Drosophila melanogaster: one gene and its partners. The gene in region 1 interacts genetically with each later gene. Each region holds a gene or a part of one and is shown in the gene's direction. Other genes may lie near its edges.

What was found. A genetic interaction does not mean that the proteins touch.
Region 2: of aux (region 1) and g, changing one enhances a phenotype caused by changing the other (phenotypic enhancement), as found in Drosophila melanogaster (one study listed by BioGRID).
Region 3: of aux (region 1) and Chc, changing one suppresses a phenotype caused by changing the other (phenotypic suppression), as found in Drosophila melanogaster (2 studies listed by BioGRID).

Annotation. Positions count from the first base shown.
Region 1 is NT_033777.3:4,209,818-4,215,072, forward strand, and holds the start of aux (auxilin), read left to right. Parts: upstream 1-1,965; 5' UTR 1,966-1,995; intron 1,996-2,090; 5' UTR 2,091-2,098; intron 2,099-5,255.
Region 2 is NC_004354.4:13,732,920-13,738,266, reverse strand, and holds the start of g (garnet), read left to right. Parts: upstream 1-1,988; 5' UTR 1,989-2,226; coding exon 2,227-2,325; intron 2,326-2,577; exon of another isoform or gene 2,578-2,736; intron 2,737-3,528; coding exon 3,529-3,624; intron 3,625-4,431; coding exon 4,432-4,560; intron 4,561-4,630; coding exon 4,631-4,771; intron 4,772-4,825; coding exon 4,826-4,955; intron 4,956-5,042; coding exon 5,043-5,182; intron 5,183-5,347. Other genes in the region: CG11134 (uncharacterized protein), read right to left, coding at 1-18; Grip91 (Gamma-tubulin ring protein 91), read left to right, coding at 461-1,165. UniProt on the Drosophila melanogaster protein: Part of the AP-3 complex, an adapter-related complex which is not clathrin-associated. The complex is associated with the Golgi region as well as more peripheral structures.
Region 3 is NC_004354.4:15,832,132-15,837,091, reverse strand, and holds the start of Chc (clathrin heavy chain), read left to right. Parts: upstream 1-1,601; 5' UTR 1,602-1,805; exon of another isoform or gene 1,806-1,864; intron 1,865-2,179; exon of another isoform or gene 2,180-2,271; intron 2,272-2,337; exon of another isoform or gene 2,338-2,460; intron 2,461-2,720; 5' UTR 2,721-2,927; coding exon 2,928-2,969; intron 2,970-3,392; coding exon 3,393-3,600; intron 3,601-3,838; coding exon 3,839-4,960. UniProt on the Drosophila melanogaster protein: Clathrin is the major protein of the polyhedral coat of coated pits and vesicles.

The DNA of each region.
Region 1 (5,255 bases):
TACAAATATTATGGTAATACAAACAAACAGTTTCGAAGATAATCTAGTTATATGTCAAGGGAAAGATACAAAATTAAAAGAAATCAGGCAATTGTTAGAAAACACAGAAAATAAATTGTATGAGATGAGAAATGGTATAGTTTACAAAAAGACAAATGAAAATAGATTGCTGTTCTACGTTCCGATAGAAATGGAAGAACAAGTGTTATACAAATATCACAACGAACTTGGACACGTAGGAAGAGACAAAATGATAGAAGCTATAATGAAAAACTATTGGTTTCCAAATTTAAAACAGAAGTGTAGCACACATATCAGCAACTGTTTAAAATGTATTTCATTCAGTCCCAAAACAGGAAAAACAGAAGGATTTCTACACAACATACCTAAGGGAAACAAACCTTTTGAAATAATCCATATTGACCATTATGGTCCAGTAGACTTGGCTAGACCGAAGAAACATATTCTAGTGATAGTAGATGCATTCACAAAGTTTGTCAGACTATACGCAACAAAAACTACGAACACAAAAGAAGTCATACAATCGTTAAATGACTACTTCAGAGCATACAGTAGGCCTAAGTGTATCATATCAGATAGAGGAGCATGTTTCACGTCTGGCGATTTTGACTCATTTTTGAAAGAATGCAATGTTAAACACATAAAAATTGCAACAGGATCGCCACAAGCCAACGGTCAAGTTGAACGTATAAACCGAAGTCTTGGTCCAATGATTAGCAAGTTAATTGAACCTGATCAAGGTCTACACTGGGACTTAGTCTTAGAAAAGGTCGAATATACCCTGAACAATACACTACACCGCAGCATTAAACAGTATCCTAGCATAATGTTATTTGGGTTACAACAAAAAGGACAAATTATGGATGAGTTAAAAGAAAAAATTGAGGAAATTGGAGAAACGATTGAAGAAAGAGATTTAGAAAGTATTAGAAATAAAGGCGAGGCAAGTCAGAAAATAGCACAAGCATACAATAAAGAATATGTTGACAAAAAACGAAAACGATCAGGAGTGTTCACAAAAGGCGACTACGTCATGGTTAAAAATTTTGACTCAACAACAGGCATAGCTAAGAAGTTAATTCCAAAGCATAAAGGACCCTATGTCATAAGCAAAGTTCTCAAAAATGATCGCTTCCTTCTGGAAGATGTTGATGGATTTCAAATTTCTCGCAATCCTTACCGGGGTGTATGGAGCATACAGAATATAAAACACTGGCAAAGAAAAATTAAGAGTCTACAAAATAGAAAGTATAATTTGAGAAACTCTGTACAAAATAGAAAGTATAATTTGAGAAACTCTGTACAAAATAGAAAGTATAATTTAAGAAACTCTGTACGAAATAGAAAGTATAATTTAAGAAGCAATTGTAAAACAAAGAAAACAAACAAGAAGAAAAGAAAACCAAAAAAATGTTTAAGACCGTTCAAAAGTATCTCCACTAAGAAGAATAAAATAAGAAACAGGACCCTTAGCTTTAAGAAACGTTAATTGTTATAAAATCCTACGATCGGGAGATCTAGTTGTCAGGACGGCCGAGTTGTAGTAGGCTGCTCCTTCTACCCTCTTCCTTTACTCTTAGTCATACATACCTAATTATACATAGCCAATCTAGTCATAAGCTTATACACTCATACACCCATCCTTAACATACAAATATTATCGAGAAACTTATCGACTAATCGACTCGCCACTCTGCAGAGAGCGCGGCAGTCAGTCGCTGTTGAACCAAGCTAAAGGACAGATCAAAATAAAAGAGACACGTGAAATTGTATTAGAATATTAACTTCTGTAAACGGCGGCTAAAATTGTATTTTTTCTTATAACACACTTCAAAATAATTTCAACAGCCCGTTCATAAGGTACTAAAAAAAGATTTTACCATCCCTTTCGATGTGTTTTTTTCGATATAACCAGTCTCTGCCATCCATTGCTTTTTGTTTGTGCCGCAAGCTTCCAGTATTTATAAATTTCTGGTATCAAATTTCTGACGATAATAATAATAATATAATAATAATGGTTTTAATAAATTTATTAAAAATTAATTAAACTGGTTTCTTCCGCAACTTAGCTGACTTGGTATTAGAAATTAGGCGATAATCAACAAAAGTGGAAAACAAAAGTTAAGAATAGCTGTTAAAATAATGACGATTACCCGCTTCAGTGCTATTGCAATCAATATCCAATAAATAAGGAATGCTGGCTTAACAGATTTCCCGCGTGTTCTCAAATAAATTATTTACAGGCCAGGTATGGCTGCTCCTCTGCAGTTTGGCTGCTTTTGCGTGATGTGCTGGGTGCGTTGGGCTCAGAAAGCGAAACACCAAATAAATTGAAACTTTCGTTTGCACGCTACAGTTTTTACTTTGACGGAAACGATGCTGAAACGTCGAAAGCCGCATTTCCTGAGTAACAACGTGCTCTACCTAAGATCATTCATCTTCTGGTCGAATGAAACTGGAAAGTTCAACATTCAAAACAGAAGTAATCGATACCATAATTTGCATTAAATGAACCACAAATGAGAGATGAAAAATAAGATGATAAAGATTCGTCTAGAGATCTTTCTGTCTTTCTATTCTGCTGGGTAACGCTTTCTGTGAGCGGTCAATGCGACGATTACCGGCAATTCGATTTTCTCATCGGGCGTTGGCAAAGATATTACGCATACGCCTCGGTCACGCTAACGACAATCCAATAAGTAACTAATAAAGGAAAATTGGCCGACAAAAAGCTGAAAGAAACAATTAGGAAAATTGTAAATTGCGTTTTCAACTCAAACGCGGCCGCTAAAGTTCACGTCCGCCGCTACTATTGCCGCTGACAATGGAGCTCTGGGTGGCTAACCGAGCATTGCTCGTCGACGCAAATCGCTGCGCTCTGCTCGGCAAAACTTTCACTTTCAACTCGACTCGGCCAACTACATCGCTTTGCGCCTCTTCTCCAATACTCCTGCCTAAATCCACGCTATCGCTTCTTCCTATGACTTGGCTTGCTTGCAGGTGGCCATGAACCCTATTCCTAAAGATTACGCGGTCAGCAAATCGATTTATTGCTAGAAATCGGGACAAGGGCACAGCAAATACCTGTAAATTCTTTAGTGTTTTTCTTTGTTTCCAAAACATAGTTGCCAATTTTTCCATGATAAAATTGATTAGTATTAACCGATTTATTTTTATTTAATGATTGCAAAACTGTGCTACTAAATGCAATAGGTAGTCTTAAAATATTTCGGAATATCGACAGAATCTGGCAAGACAATTGTGTTAATTGTTCCCGAGACGAGATGTCATGCTGGCCAAGGTACTTCCTTAAATTGAAAATTAACTTCGCAAGACTAAACGTTATTATCGCCCTTTGTTCAAATTTGTCATGCACATAGAAATAATTACTAATTGTGCTAATAGCTGACACTTCAAATGAAAATGAAACATTCATTCGGAGGTTTATAATTTTTAAAGAAATCGAATAAAATGTACTCCCATTTGGACAAAACAGAATTTGTTTCGAAGAGCTTACTTTTACAATAGGTAGGCAAGCTTTACTTTCATTAGTATTTCAATAGTTTTTCGGAGAACCATTTTAAATAATTCTGAGAACACACTAGGCAAACAAGATAATTATACCACCTAATAGACCATGCTCATTGACAATCTCGATCGCATACCGATTCGACAAAGTTACCCTAAGAGCGTTAAAACTAGTTCCGAACTTGAACTGTACGGACTTTCAGGACTCTTTTCAGCCGTTCCGTCCTCTCCGGTCGGGAGACTTTGACAGAGTTGACACTGCAGTTAAATTTGGACAGCGGTCCGTCTTTTGGGTCACTGCTTACCGCTAAGAATTACGTCACTAACGCCATCTGAAGATTGTAGCGATGAGTAAGAGGCGGAAGCCAAGACATTCATCTCGAGCGTAGCCCACTGTTGCGGTCATAAGCGTCGCATAACAGCGGCTTGGGGACGAGTGATGAAATTTGAAATGCAGTCTGCACTTATAGTTTCCCTTGATTCGATTCGAGTCATGCAGAGAGCGATGTCTTTTGCATTCGGAATCCACTTAATCACGGGCTTACAGCCACGTTGCTTAGAATAGCTGCCCCGGCGAAACCAGCTCTCTCTGTGACCTAAAGAGGGGGAGGCTCAATTGGGCTTCCATTAACTTCTTGGGGCCCCTGTCAGGTGTCAATCAAGTCGAGTTTGCTCTGCAACGCGTCGGATATTGTGAGGCGGGCATACAACAAAGACTGAATTTAAATGGCGGCCACGCCTGCAATCGCTCACGCCTCCAGCTGGAGAGGTTGAACCCAAATCAAAGGGGTCGGTGGCACAAGTACACTGCGAGAATGAATATGATTCTTTCGGGGCTCAGCTCATACTTCAATTTACACGTCCCAGAGGGATTTGGACGTGGCCAGGGCTCGACCGGTACAGATATTACACATCAGCACAGCTACTTGGTGCTCCCCCTAACTCAGATTTTTTCCCGTGTAGCCCGCGTAGGCAATCGATTGTAATCGACGACGACGACGTTTTCTGTGCCTGCCAGCTGGTGCAGTGGCTGTCGCCACTGCCATGTGCGAAATGCAAATGCGAGGGGCGGCTAACGAAGCTAGTGCTGACTCGACCCGTAATATTTTACTTTTACTTTTTATGATTAACATTTCCCACCCAAGGTGGAGGGCCCAAAACGAGCTCTTTACTTATCCACACATTCGTATTTTCGTGGCGGACGATGCGCAATGAGATGAGAAATGCCGAGATCGTAACTTCCAAGATAGCTCGCCGCCGCGATGCCCAGCGTTAAATTATGTTTTTGTCTTTTAATTAACATTACTCGTGTTAGTCGCTTCCCTGCGCCCACCAACCCCCTCCCACTCGCCTCCCTTCTGGCACCGCTCCCACCTACCTACTTGGCCCTGGGTGTCGCAATTGAAAGTGAAACTCTGTTTCCTTTCGACTGCCAGTGGAGTCACAGGTTGGTGGGCCGATCTGGTCTCTTTGGGGGCCAACGCACGAGCTGAAGTGTGAAATGTGAAATGTGTCATCGTCTGGAGTGCGCTGTCCCGAGAGCGGATCTTCTAGGGCTTCCAGACTGAACAGGTTTCGTTGCGGTAGGTCGTACTAAAAGTCTGACACTGAAGACCCTCAAACCAGCCGGCTCGGCAATGGTTACCCGGGAATTACTTAAGAGTCGTATCAAAAGCTCAAAGTTGCGGTGGCCAGGTACTGTTATT
Region 2 (5,347 bases), on another chromosome or scaffold:
GAAGATCGAGAGGGCCATCTCGCTGACAATGTGACTTTCGTGGGACGTAATCTTCGTCGCCGTGCGACACTGATAACGGGAGATAAAGGGATTCTGAAAGCGACAAATCACGAATGTAAACAATGCTGCCGTCGATAGACGATTGCAATCGGTGTATCGCTGTTAACACACAGCGTTGCCGTTACGATAAACATTGTCCAATTAGAAATGGTTTTTTGAAAATTGAATAATGTGCAATAGTTCATTAAGAGAACAAGATATTATTATCACCGTATTACCTCAAAAATGTTTCATAGCGCTGTTGAAAACGTTTTTTACAAGTATAAATATAATAAGCTTGCTACATTTGAACTTTTTTCAATTTTCTTGAGTAGTCCTATTCTGTAAGTCTTATTATAAACTTTTTTGTTTTTATGTGGCTCACCTTTGGAATTATATTGTTTATTAAACATCTTTTCAGGCCCTTCGTACAATGAAGTCCGAAATCGGCAAGGCGTCACACCGCCTCAACCTTTTCACTTCCGAGATCATGCACTTTATCCACCAAATGCAGTACTATGTGCTATTTGAGGTCATCGAGTGCAACTGGGTGGAGCTACAGAAGAAGATGCAGAAGGCTACTACGTTGGACGAAATCCTGGAAGCTCACGAGAAGTTTCTGCAAACGATTTTGGTGGGCTGTTTTGTCAGCAACAAAGCGAGTGTGGAGCATTCGCTGGAGGTGGTGTACGAGAACATTATCGAATTGGAGAAGTGGCAGTCGAGCTTTTACAAGGACTGCTTTAAGGAGCTAAATGCCCGCAAGGAACTGTCCAAAATTGTGGAGAAATCGGAAAAGAAGGGTGTCTACGGACTGACCAACAAGATGATCCTGCAGCGCGACCAGGAGGCGAAGATATTTGCCGAAAAGATGGACATCGCCTGCCGCGGCTTAGAAGTCATAGCAACCGATTACGAAAAGGCTGTCAGCACTTTCCTAATGTCTCTCAACTCTAGCGACGATCCGAATTTGCAGCTCTTTGGCACTCGGCTGGACTTCAACGAGTACTACAAGAAGAGGGACACCAATTTGAGCAAACCCCTGACCTTCGAGCACATGCGCATGAGCAATGTGTTCGCCGTGAACAGTCGCTTCGTGATATGTACGCCGTCCACTCAGGAATAGCGACCAATGTCCATGCAATCGGTTTATCCCAGTGTCCATACATCATACCAAATCCCAAATCCCATACAGCATCAGCACTCCATTCAGTTCAATTGCTGCTAAATATTTGAGATATCTCGATATCATTGGAGCCAATCCAACCAAACAAACTAATCCAATTATTAACTAAGCCTTCGAATCGAAAACAACCTCTATACATATATATCTCAAGCTTTGCCGTCAATCGCCTGGCTGCAAGCCATCAACTTAAGATATCTCCAATACAAAATTATTGAGTAGTTGTAACGAAAGTATTAAGCGACAATTTGTTTGTCGAAAAACGCAACGTTCTATTTTGTTTGCGAATCCCATAATTTTTTTTACATCGAAGCTTAGTTGAAATAGATTTTCGTAAGTGCATTTGCCAATTGCCATGTTGTAATTAAAGAGAATAAGAGAATGTTACGTACTTTAAAAGAATGTTTTAAAAAAGTTAATGTTTTGAACAGTTTTAAACCGTAATGCGAGCTCGAAATAAACGCAACTTGCATTGAAAGTTTCCGTCTCTATTTAATTATTATAAATTACAAAAATTTGGGTTATAAGAGTGTAATAGTTATTTATTCAATTATTGTAAATGCGTATAAAAAGAAAGCCGAAATATTCAGTTATTTATATTATTTCCTTCTCACTCTCACTCAAACTTTCTGATCTCAAAACGGTTTTGTAATCGAATGCGCAGCGAGTTATCGACAGTCCACGAAGCGGTTAACATTTCACCGCTAGCGAGTGCAGCCACCTACTATTCAGCGTAGCCAACCACCAACGTGCAGCAAACATCGATAGTATCGATTAAACACAAATTTGCGTACCACCTCTAGTTTGCGAGCGTATTAAAGTTAAAAAAAAAACGAAAACAAATCGGAAAAAGACGGAAGTGAGTGCTTTGTGCTGCCGCCGGTGATGTGCTGAAATCGCTTCGCCAAAATAGCCCAATTTCCCAATCGAGACACCGATTGCAAATCAAAGTAACGCCACGGAGTGCAGCAAAAAGAAAAACAAAAACAACAGCAACTGCAAACATGGCACTGAAAAAAGTGAAGGGTAACTTTTTCGAGCGTATGTTTGATAAAAACCTCACCGATTTGGTGCGCGGCATTAGGAACAACAAGGATAATGAGGTAAGCGTGCAGCCCCGCCTCCACCGCCCACCAAAACAGCTGTCCTCCAACTGCCACGCCCCCCCCAAGCGGCCCAGCTGTGCGTCCAATTAGAACTCGCTAATTGGCTGACAAATTTCGTTTGCATTAAGGGAATCTTATTAGAGTTTGGTGTGCTTGCATGTGTGCGTGTGTGTGTGTGTGGGTGAAAGTGGCTGTGTGTTTGTGTGTGTGAATGTTTTGGCATCTGCCAACAGTGCAAAAGGAAAAGCAGGAAAAGCTTGAAAAGAACCACAAAACCGAACGCAGAAACTCCCAACGCACCAAATTAATTAGCAAGTGGCTTTTATCAAATATTTACCCACGTTAATTCCCCCGCCGTTGGTCTTTTTATTCGGTCCTTATCAGAATGCTTGGCAGGATCGGCTAACGGTACTTGAGTTTTCACACGGAGAGAAAATTGCGTGTGATTTGCAAAAATAAAATTGTAGCTTCATTTGCTTCGATTGTTAGTAATTGCAAATATTAATGCAATAAAAATAATAATAAATAAATTGCCAAAAAATCAGTTTCCATCCAGTTATGGTTTGCATATCGTGCAACAAGAACAATTGAGAAATAAGAATATATGCAAGAATAACTAAGTTTGTCTACGTAAACAAAAAAATAAGTGGCTCTTGATTGAATTCGATTTCTATATCTTCCACTGCGCATTTCGATTGTTATTTTTGCTCTTGTGTGGTCCACTGTAAGCGCTGATTTACAAATGTGCTTAAAATTATAGCATTCATTCGTTTCAGTAAGATAAAAAAATAAATATTAATTGAAAATTGTGCATTTTTAATCTCAACTAAATGTTACTCATCAGCTAGCGCAGTTTCCATATAACTTTTCATGTAAACAACTTAAGGCGGCCATTATATTTCCATTTTGTACAGCACAAATGAAGAGTAAACAATCAAACTTTGTATATTTACATTCGATTTTATTAACAACTGCATCGGAATTAATGCAACAACACTATTATTCTACCCGCCACTGTATGATTTGGAATTTGTGTTTTTCTTTATTTTTGTTCTATTGCTGTGGGCATAAAACTGATAGCCCCACGACGATTCTCAGATATGTTTGTTGTTTTACTCTGCGCTGCCATTGCACATTTCGCATTTTCACATACTATATTTCGAATATAAACATATTGATTGACAATAACTTTCTCCGCAGGCCAAATACATATCGACGTGCATTGAGGAGATCAAACAGGAGCTGCGACAGGACAATATAAGTGTCAAGTGTAATGCAGTGGCCAAGTTGACCTACGTAAGTTGAATCTTGGAATCCTTAAACCAAAGACGCACCACAGATGATTAACTCACTATTTGCGAACAATGATGAGGGACTTTTAAAATTTATAGGGGTGTTTTAAAATGGTTAATTAGACAATCGCAAATGTGCTGTTCAAAAATAAGCTGATTATACGCACCGACAGCCCAAAGAGGATTCAGGATTCCCCTTCATTAGAATCATCAGTGCAGATGATTGCGTGTGCATGGATGTGCACCGGATTCTGGTGGCAGCCATTCAAAGTCGACCAAGTGCATGGCTGCACTTGATGCAAATTGCCTGGCGGCCGGTCGGTATATATGGGGGGTCCTTGTAGGCAAGTGCGACAATAAGGACTAAAACAGCAACAGCCGTTAAGCTAACAACTGAATCGGCGGAAACAAGGCGAACGAAGGAGCAACCTTTGTTCCACGCCCACACCGCTGGGTGTGGTGGTGGTGGTGGTGGTGGTGGTGTGCCCACCACTAACAAGCGATCCAAAAGATGCCATCAAAAGTTGGCACAGTTGTGTTGGCCAAAATAGCACTGCTATCCTGCAAAACCTAAAACCAGTTGGCTGAAACTGAAATCTAGTGCATAAGCTAAATGGTTTTTATCATTTATAGTTCGATTGCCAAGTCTAGGTAACTAGTGACTTACCCTCGAGTGTTAGGTGCAACTAAGGCGATTTTAATGCTAACGAGAGTCCTTGGGCCTATCCTCTGCACATATTTCACAGGCATACATTTGCACAAAATCAGCAGAAAATGTTAATATTTATTGATTCGATTTCGCTTGCGACAGATACAAATGCTGGGCTACGACATCTCCTGGGCGGGCTTCAATATCATCGAGGTGATGAGCTCATCCAGATTTACCTGCAAGCGAATTGGCTATCTGGCGGCTAGCCAATGTTTCCATCCGGACAGCGAGGTAATATTCACATTACTTACTGCATTAAAGAAAGCATTTAATTTCGATTTCTATTTTCCGCACATTGCAGCTGCTCATGCTGACCACGAATATGATACGCAAGGATCTCAACTCACAGAATCAATACGATGCGGGTGTGGCGCTCAGTGGACTGAGCTGCTTTATATCGCCCGATCTGTCCCGCGACTTGGCCAATGATATTATGACACTGGTATGGATATTATGACACTTTGATTGATTTGTACCTATCGCAACTAATCTGCAGATGAGTTCAACAAAACCGTATCTGCGCATGAAAGCCGTCCTTATGATGTATAAAGTATTTCTACGCTATCCCGAGGCATTGAGACCGGCATTTCCCAAACTCAAAGAGAAACTTGAGGATCCTGATCCAGGTTTAAACAACATACATATATATATCATCCTGCTGATATTTCCATGCAATTCATATATCTAATGCACTACTATTTTGGGTTTTACAGGTGTTCAATCAGCTGCCGTGAATGTGATTTGTGAACTAGCACGTAAGAATCCAAAAAACTACCTGCCCTTGGCGCCGATCTTCTTCAAGCTAATGACCACATCGACCAACAATTGGATGCTGATCAAGATCATCAAGCTGGTGAGTGCGGATCCACTGATCACTGGCCACCATATAGATTCACAATGATTACTTTATTTTGACTTTTAAGTTTTGTTTTAAGTACGTATCTGTTTATCTTTTGATTTTCGTTTGTTCGTTTGTGAACAAATGGTGATTTTGTTTTTAGCTGTATACTATGTATGT
Region 3 (4,960 bases), on another chromosome or scaffold:
TCCTGATCAAGAATATATATATATATATAGATTATATGGTCGGAAACGCTTCCTTCTGCCAGTTTCAACGAATCTTACCCTTACGAGTAACGGGTATAAAAAATTGGAACTTGCATTATTATTGGCTCCCACAGAGAAGGGTATATTATTTGAATGACAACAACGTTTCAATGTAAATATATATTAAAATAATCTAGGTAAACATGAAAACGAAGAAAAATAAAAACAGAATTTAGTGGTATCTTTATGTTATCAAAATGAATATGATTGACAAAGCTCAGAGTCCGCAGCATTCTGCCATTTATCCTGGGCTTCCTAGATCCCAAAACCGAGTCGTAAGAACGTCTGTATATACTGTAGAAGAAACTTATATTAATAAAAGAATTTCCCTGGGAAACGAGGAGTTTATCAGTTTACCTTATTCTGTTAGCGACGGATCCTCTCCCAATGGCCCTGGGTTGAGGAATCCTGGGCGGGTGGGACGCCTAGCAGGAATGCGGCAGACTGCGAACGGCCAAAGCATCGAGCACTGGTCAAATTCGGACAATCCAGCTGGGTTTTTTACCACTGCAATAATGAAAAACTTTCAGAAGTCCTCAAGGGATTGCTCATGGTAGAGAGTGACATCGCTTTTGCTTTTAATAAAAGAATTTCCAAATTTTTGTGCCTGCAGGACAAAAATGATTATGTGTACCTTTTCGACAACTTGCTGAGGTGCTGGACCCTTCGCCCGTTCGAAGACTACCGCAAATCTGCGAGCGGGACGCCCGCAATATTCGTCTAGCTCCTTGCCCCATCCTTTGTCATGCCCTTGATCAGTCAAGTCAAGACGGTATAGATTCTATCGCCAAAAGGTGCTTCAAAATCGGATACTGCTGCTTACCTCATAGATTAAGATTTTATTGTTGGGACTCGGTTTTCCAAATGATAAAAACAATAAAAAAAATGTTTGGAGCAAATCCTAAAGTTGTTGTTTCTGTAGCACATTGAGTGTAAATGTCAAAAATAGTATTGAAAAAGAACAAAGTTAAAATCATCGCCTACTTAAAAATAGTATTGCATAGGAACAATGTTAAAATTATCGCCTACTTATTATCCAGCACTTAAGCAAGATAATTAATGTATATATATTTTTAAAAATTAACGAAAGAGAATGCTTTAGTCCCGTTCTCCGACTATCAGATACCCGTTACGCAGATAGTGTGAGTGCAAACGTGAAATTTAATAATTTTTTCTGGGGTGTGTTCTGTTACTCTACGAGTAACGGGTATAATAACTTCACATTCCAAATTAAATTGCTATAAAAAATAGATTTCCAATTAGAGAATATATCCAATTGGATCACTCGATAACACCTGTTAACCTTACGTATGTATTATGATCTAAAAACTTGTTATCGGCAAAATATAAATGAAGCTGATAAAATAAAATAAATTTGTTGTTCCTTACAAAGTTATACTACATTTACCTAAATAATAATTACATTCGAATATTATGAATAAATACGTGTAACAGTAGGATCGTGCGATACAAATATCGATTCGAATGTTGAATGTGGTATCGATGTTTTTTCACTCCACGCAATTGCATATTTGCCGTATATATCGGCATTAATTGTATAACTTTCACACCTCTACCTTGTCTTGCAGTCAGTATTTAGTCAAACAAAAGAAAAATAAACTACATTTGTTAGAGCTTGATAAGAGCTCAGTTTGTCTTCAGTGTGTGTGCCCGTCATCTAGCAACAAACCGACGTGATTATTTCGAGTATGATAGTACTTAGCGTACATTTTTGTTAAATTGCAGTAAGCATACGGGCTCCAAATATCTTTCGATTCATTGGGAAAAAATGTAAAGTGCTAAAGTGCGTGTGTGTGTTCGCTTGCAAATGCAATATATACATACAAATTTTGTTTATTTGATGTAAAAGCATCCGATTAATTTACCGTTTATCTAATTATGTTCTTGTTTATGTGGCATATTGCGGCACTGCAAGTGTGCGCGCTCATCTGTGAGTGTGTGTGCGCGAGTGCTGCTGTGTGCGTGTGAATTGGGAATTACCGCTACTCAATTTGATGTATATACACCGAATTTCGTCAATTTCATGGCATTGTCCCATTGTTATCAGGCGCAAAACAGTGATATTTAAATGCGATTTTCGATTTTCATGCACACACAGGGGGAGGGAAAACAAGAGCAAAATTGCTGTACATGTATTAGTCAGTGACTAATTGTTCAAAGCGCAACTCAACATGGCTGACTTTTTCTGTGGTGAGCAGCGATTTTTGATGATAATGCTGCCTCTTTTCTTTTCAAATTCTCTCTCTTGATTCGCTCTCACTCTCTCTCTCTCTCCCTCGCTCACCTCAAATAAAATAAAGTGCTGGTAATTTTCCCGTCGTAACGGCAAGTGCAAAAACGCAAGAAAACGAATAAAAATACCGATACAAAGGATTAATCGTAGGAAATAATTTCGTCTATATATTTTCTTGCACAAAAGCGATTGGGGATACAATAAGAGACTCGGTGTTTTATTTTAAGGGCGTTTACATCCATATGTACATACATATAGGCCTTTATCTTTCATTTTTTCATCCGGTGACGCTGTCACTTTCTATCAACAATAAAATAACGCCCACAATTTGATTTTTCCTCATTCTTGCCGCATCAGTGCTGTCCATAACTACATGTTTTTCCAAAATCTTTTGTCTTTCGTGCAGCTAAACGTTCCAATGGAAACCGAATCTTAAACCAGAAACCGACTAAACTCGAACGCAATTAAACAACAATAAATCCTCGAAACAAATCAAATACAAACTGTTACCAAGTGTGCAATTCAAGAAAACATCGTATTGGCATTGTTTTCGCAAAGATACATTTACGTTGTAAAGGTCTGTCAATAACTAGACCTCACTGTAGTAGTAAAGATGACGCAACCACTGCCCATCCGCTTTCAGGAGCATTTACAGGTGAGTAATATTAAATATTTTGGATCTACCATCATTACATATCCACATACGTACAACCCACCAATATGCCACGATTACCTACGATTATATCCGATTCATAAGCTCCCCACTTTTCTTATGAAAATTTCACGGTTTCCAGCTCTAATTCAACGTGTAAACAGAAAATATGGGGGCTTAGGTCGAGTTTCTACTTTGCTATACCTTCTATTCAAGTCTGTATACAGTGTATTTTCTATAGAACTAGTTATAATACAAATTTACATCTAAACTTAAGCAAAGTATTGCGAATATTTAATAGTAAATGTGGGTCAATCCAGGCCAGTTCAATAATTAATAATGAATGATTATATTGTGTAATGAGTGCGTATGCTATGATTTTCGATTTATCAATTAACACACATTTTCAATCTCCACTACGGACAGCTCACAAATGTCGGGATCAACGCCAATTCATTTTCATTCAGCACGCTCACGATGGAATCGGATAAGTTTATTTGCGTGCGGGAGAAGGTGAATGATACCGCCCAAGTGGTCATCATTGACATGAACGATGCCACCAATCCCACGCGGCGTCCCATCTCAGCGGATTCGGCTATCATGAATCCAGCTAGCAAGGTCATTGCGCTCAAAGGTAACTGAAACCGATGGTCCAGTCGATCAGAATGTCCGAAGAGGATCAGATTTTAGCTTAAAGTAACGTAGGCTTAGTAAACAGGTCCGCTTGTTATTACAACGTGTCTAGAAAACTTAAAACCTCACTTAAACTTTAACTTGAATATCAAATAGTAAGGAAAGAGATCAAAGTTTTTTTCCGGTCGACTGGGATAATGCATTTTTGAACATGTATAACTTTAGAATATTTCTTTTAGCGCAAAAGACGTTGCAGATCTTCAACATTGAGATGAAGTCGAAGATGAAGGCGCATACCATGAACGAGGATGTGGTGTTCTGGAAGTGGATCTCCCTCAATACGCTAGCTCTGGTCACAGAAACGAGTGTGTTCCATTGGTCCATGGAGGGCGATTCGATGCCGCAAAAGATGTTTGACCGGCATTCATCGCTGAACGGTTGTCAAATCATCAACTACCGCTGCAATGCCTCCCAGCAGTGGCTACTCTTGGTCGGCATTTCGGCACTGCCAAGTCGCGTTGCCGGTGCCATGCAGTTGTATTCGGTGGAGCGTAAGGTGTCCCAGGCGATCGAGGGGCATGCGGCCAGTTTTGCCACGTTTAAAATCGATGCCAACAAGGAGCCGACCACGCTGTTCTGCTTTGCAGTTCGTACGGCCACTGGGGGCAAGCTTCATATTATCGAAGTTGGTGCTCCGCCGAACGGCAATCAGCCGTTTGCCAAGAAGGCTGTCGATGTCTTCTTTCCGCCGGAAGCACAAAATGATTTCCCTGTGGCTATGCAAGTCTCTGCCAAGTACGACACCATCTACTTGATAACCAAGTATGGATACATACATCTGTATGACATGGAGACGGCCACGTGCATATACATGAATCGTATATCGGCCGATACGATCTTTGTTACCGCACCGCATGAGGCAAGTGGTGGCATCATTGGCGTCAATCGCAAGGGACAGGTCCTCTCCGTGACCGTCGACGAGGAGCAGATCATTCCCTACATCAACACCGTTCTGCAGAATCCCGATTTGGCCCTTCGCATGGCCGTGCGCAACAATTTGGCTGGTGCCGAAGATCTCTTTGTGCGAAAGTTCAACAAGCTCTTTACAGCCGGCCAGTATGCTGAAGCGGCTAAAGTTGCTGCCCTGGCACCCAAGGCCATTCTGCGTACGCCACAGACGATCCAGCGTTTCCAACAGGTGCAGACACCAGCTGGCTCCACGACTCCGCCGCTGCTGCAATACTTTGGCATTCTCCTCGACCAGGGCAAGCTGAACAAGTTCGAGTCTCTCGAGCTGTGCCGTCCCGTCTTGCTGCAGGGCAAGAAGCAGCTGTGCGAGAAGTGGCTGAAGGAGGAGAAGT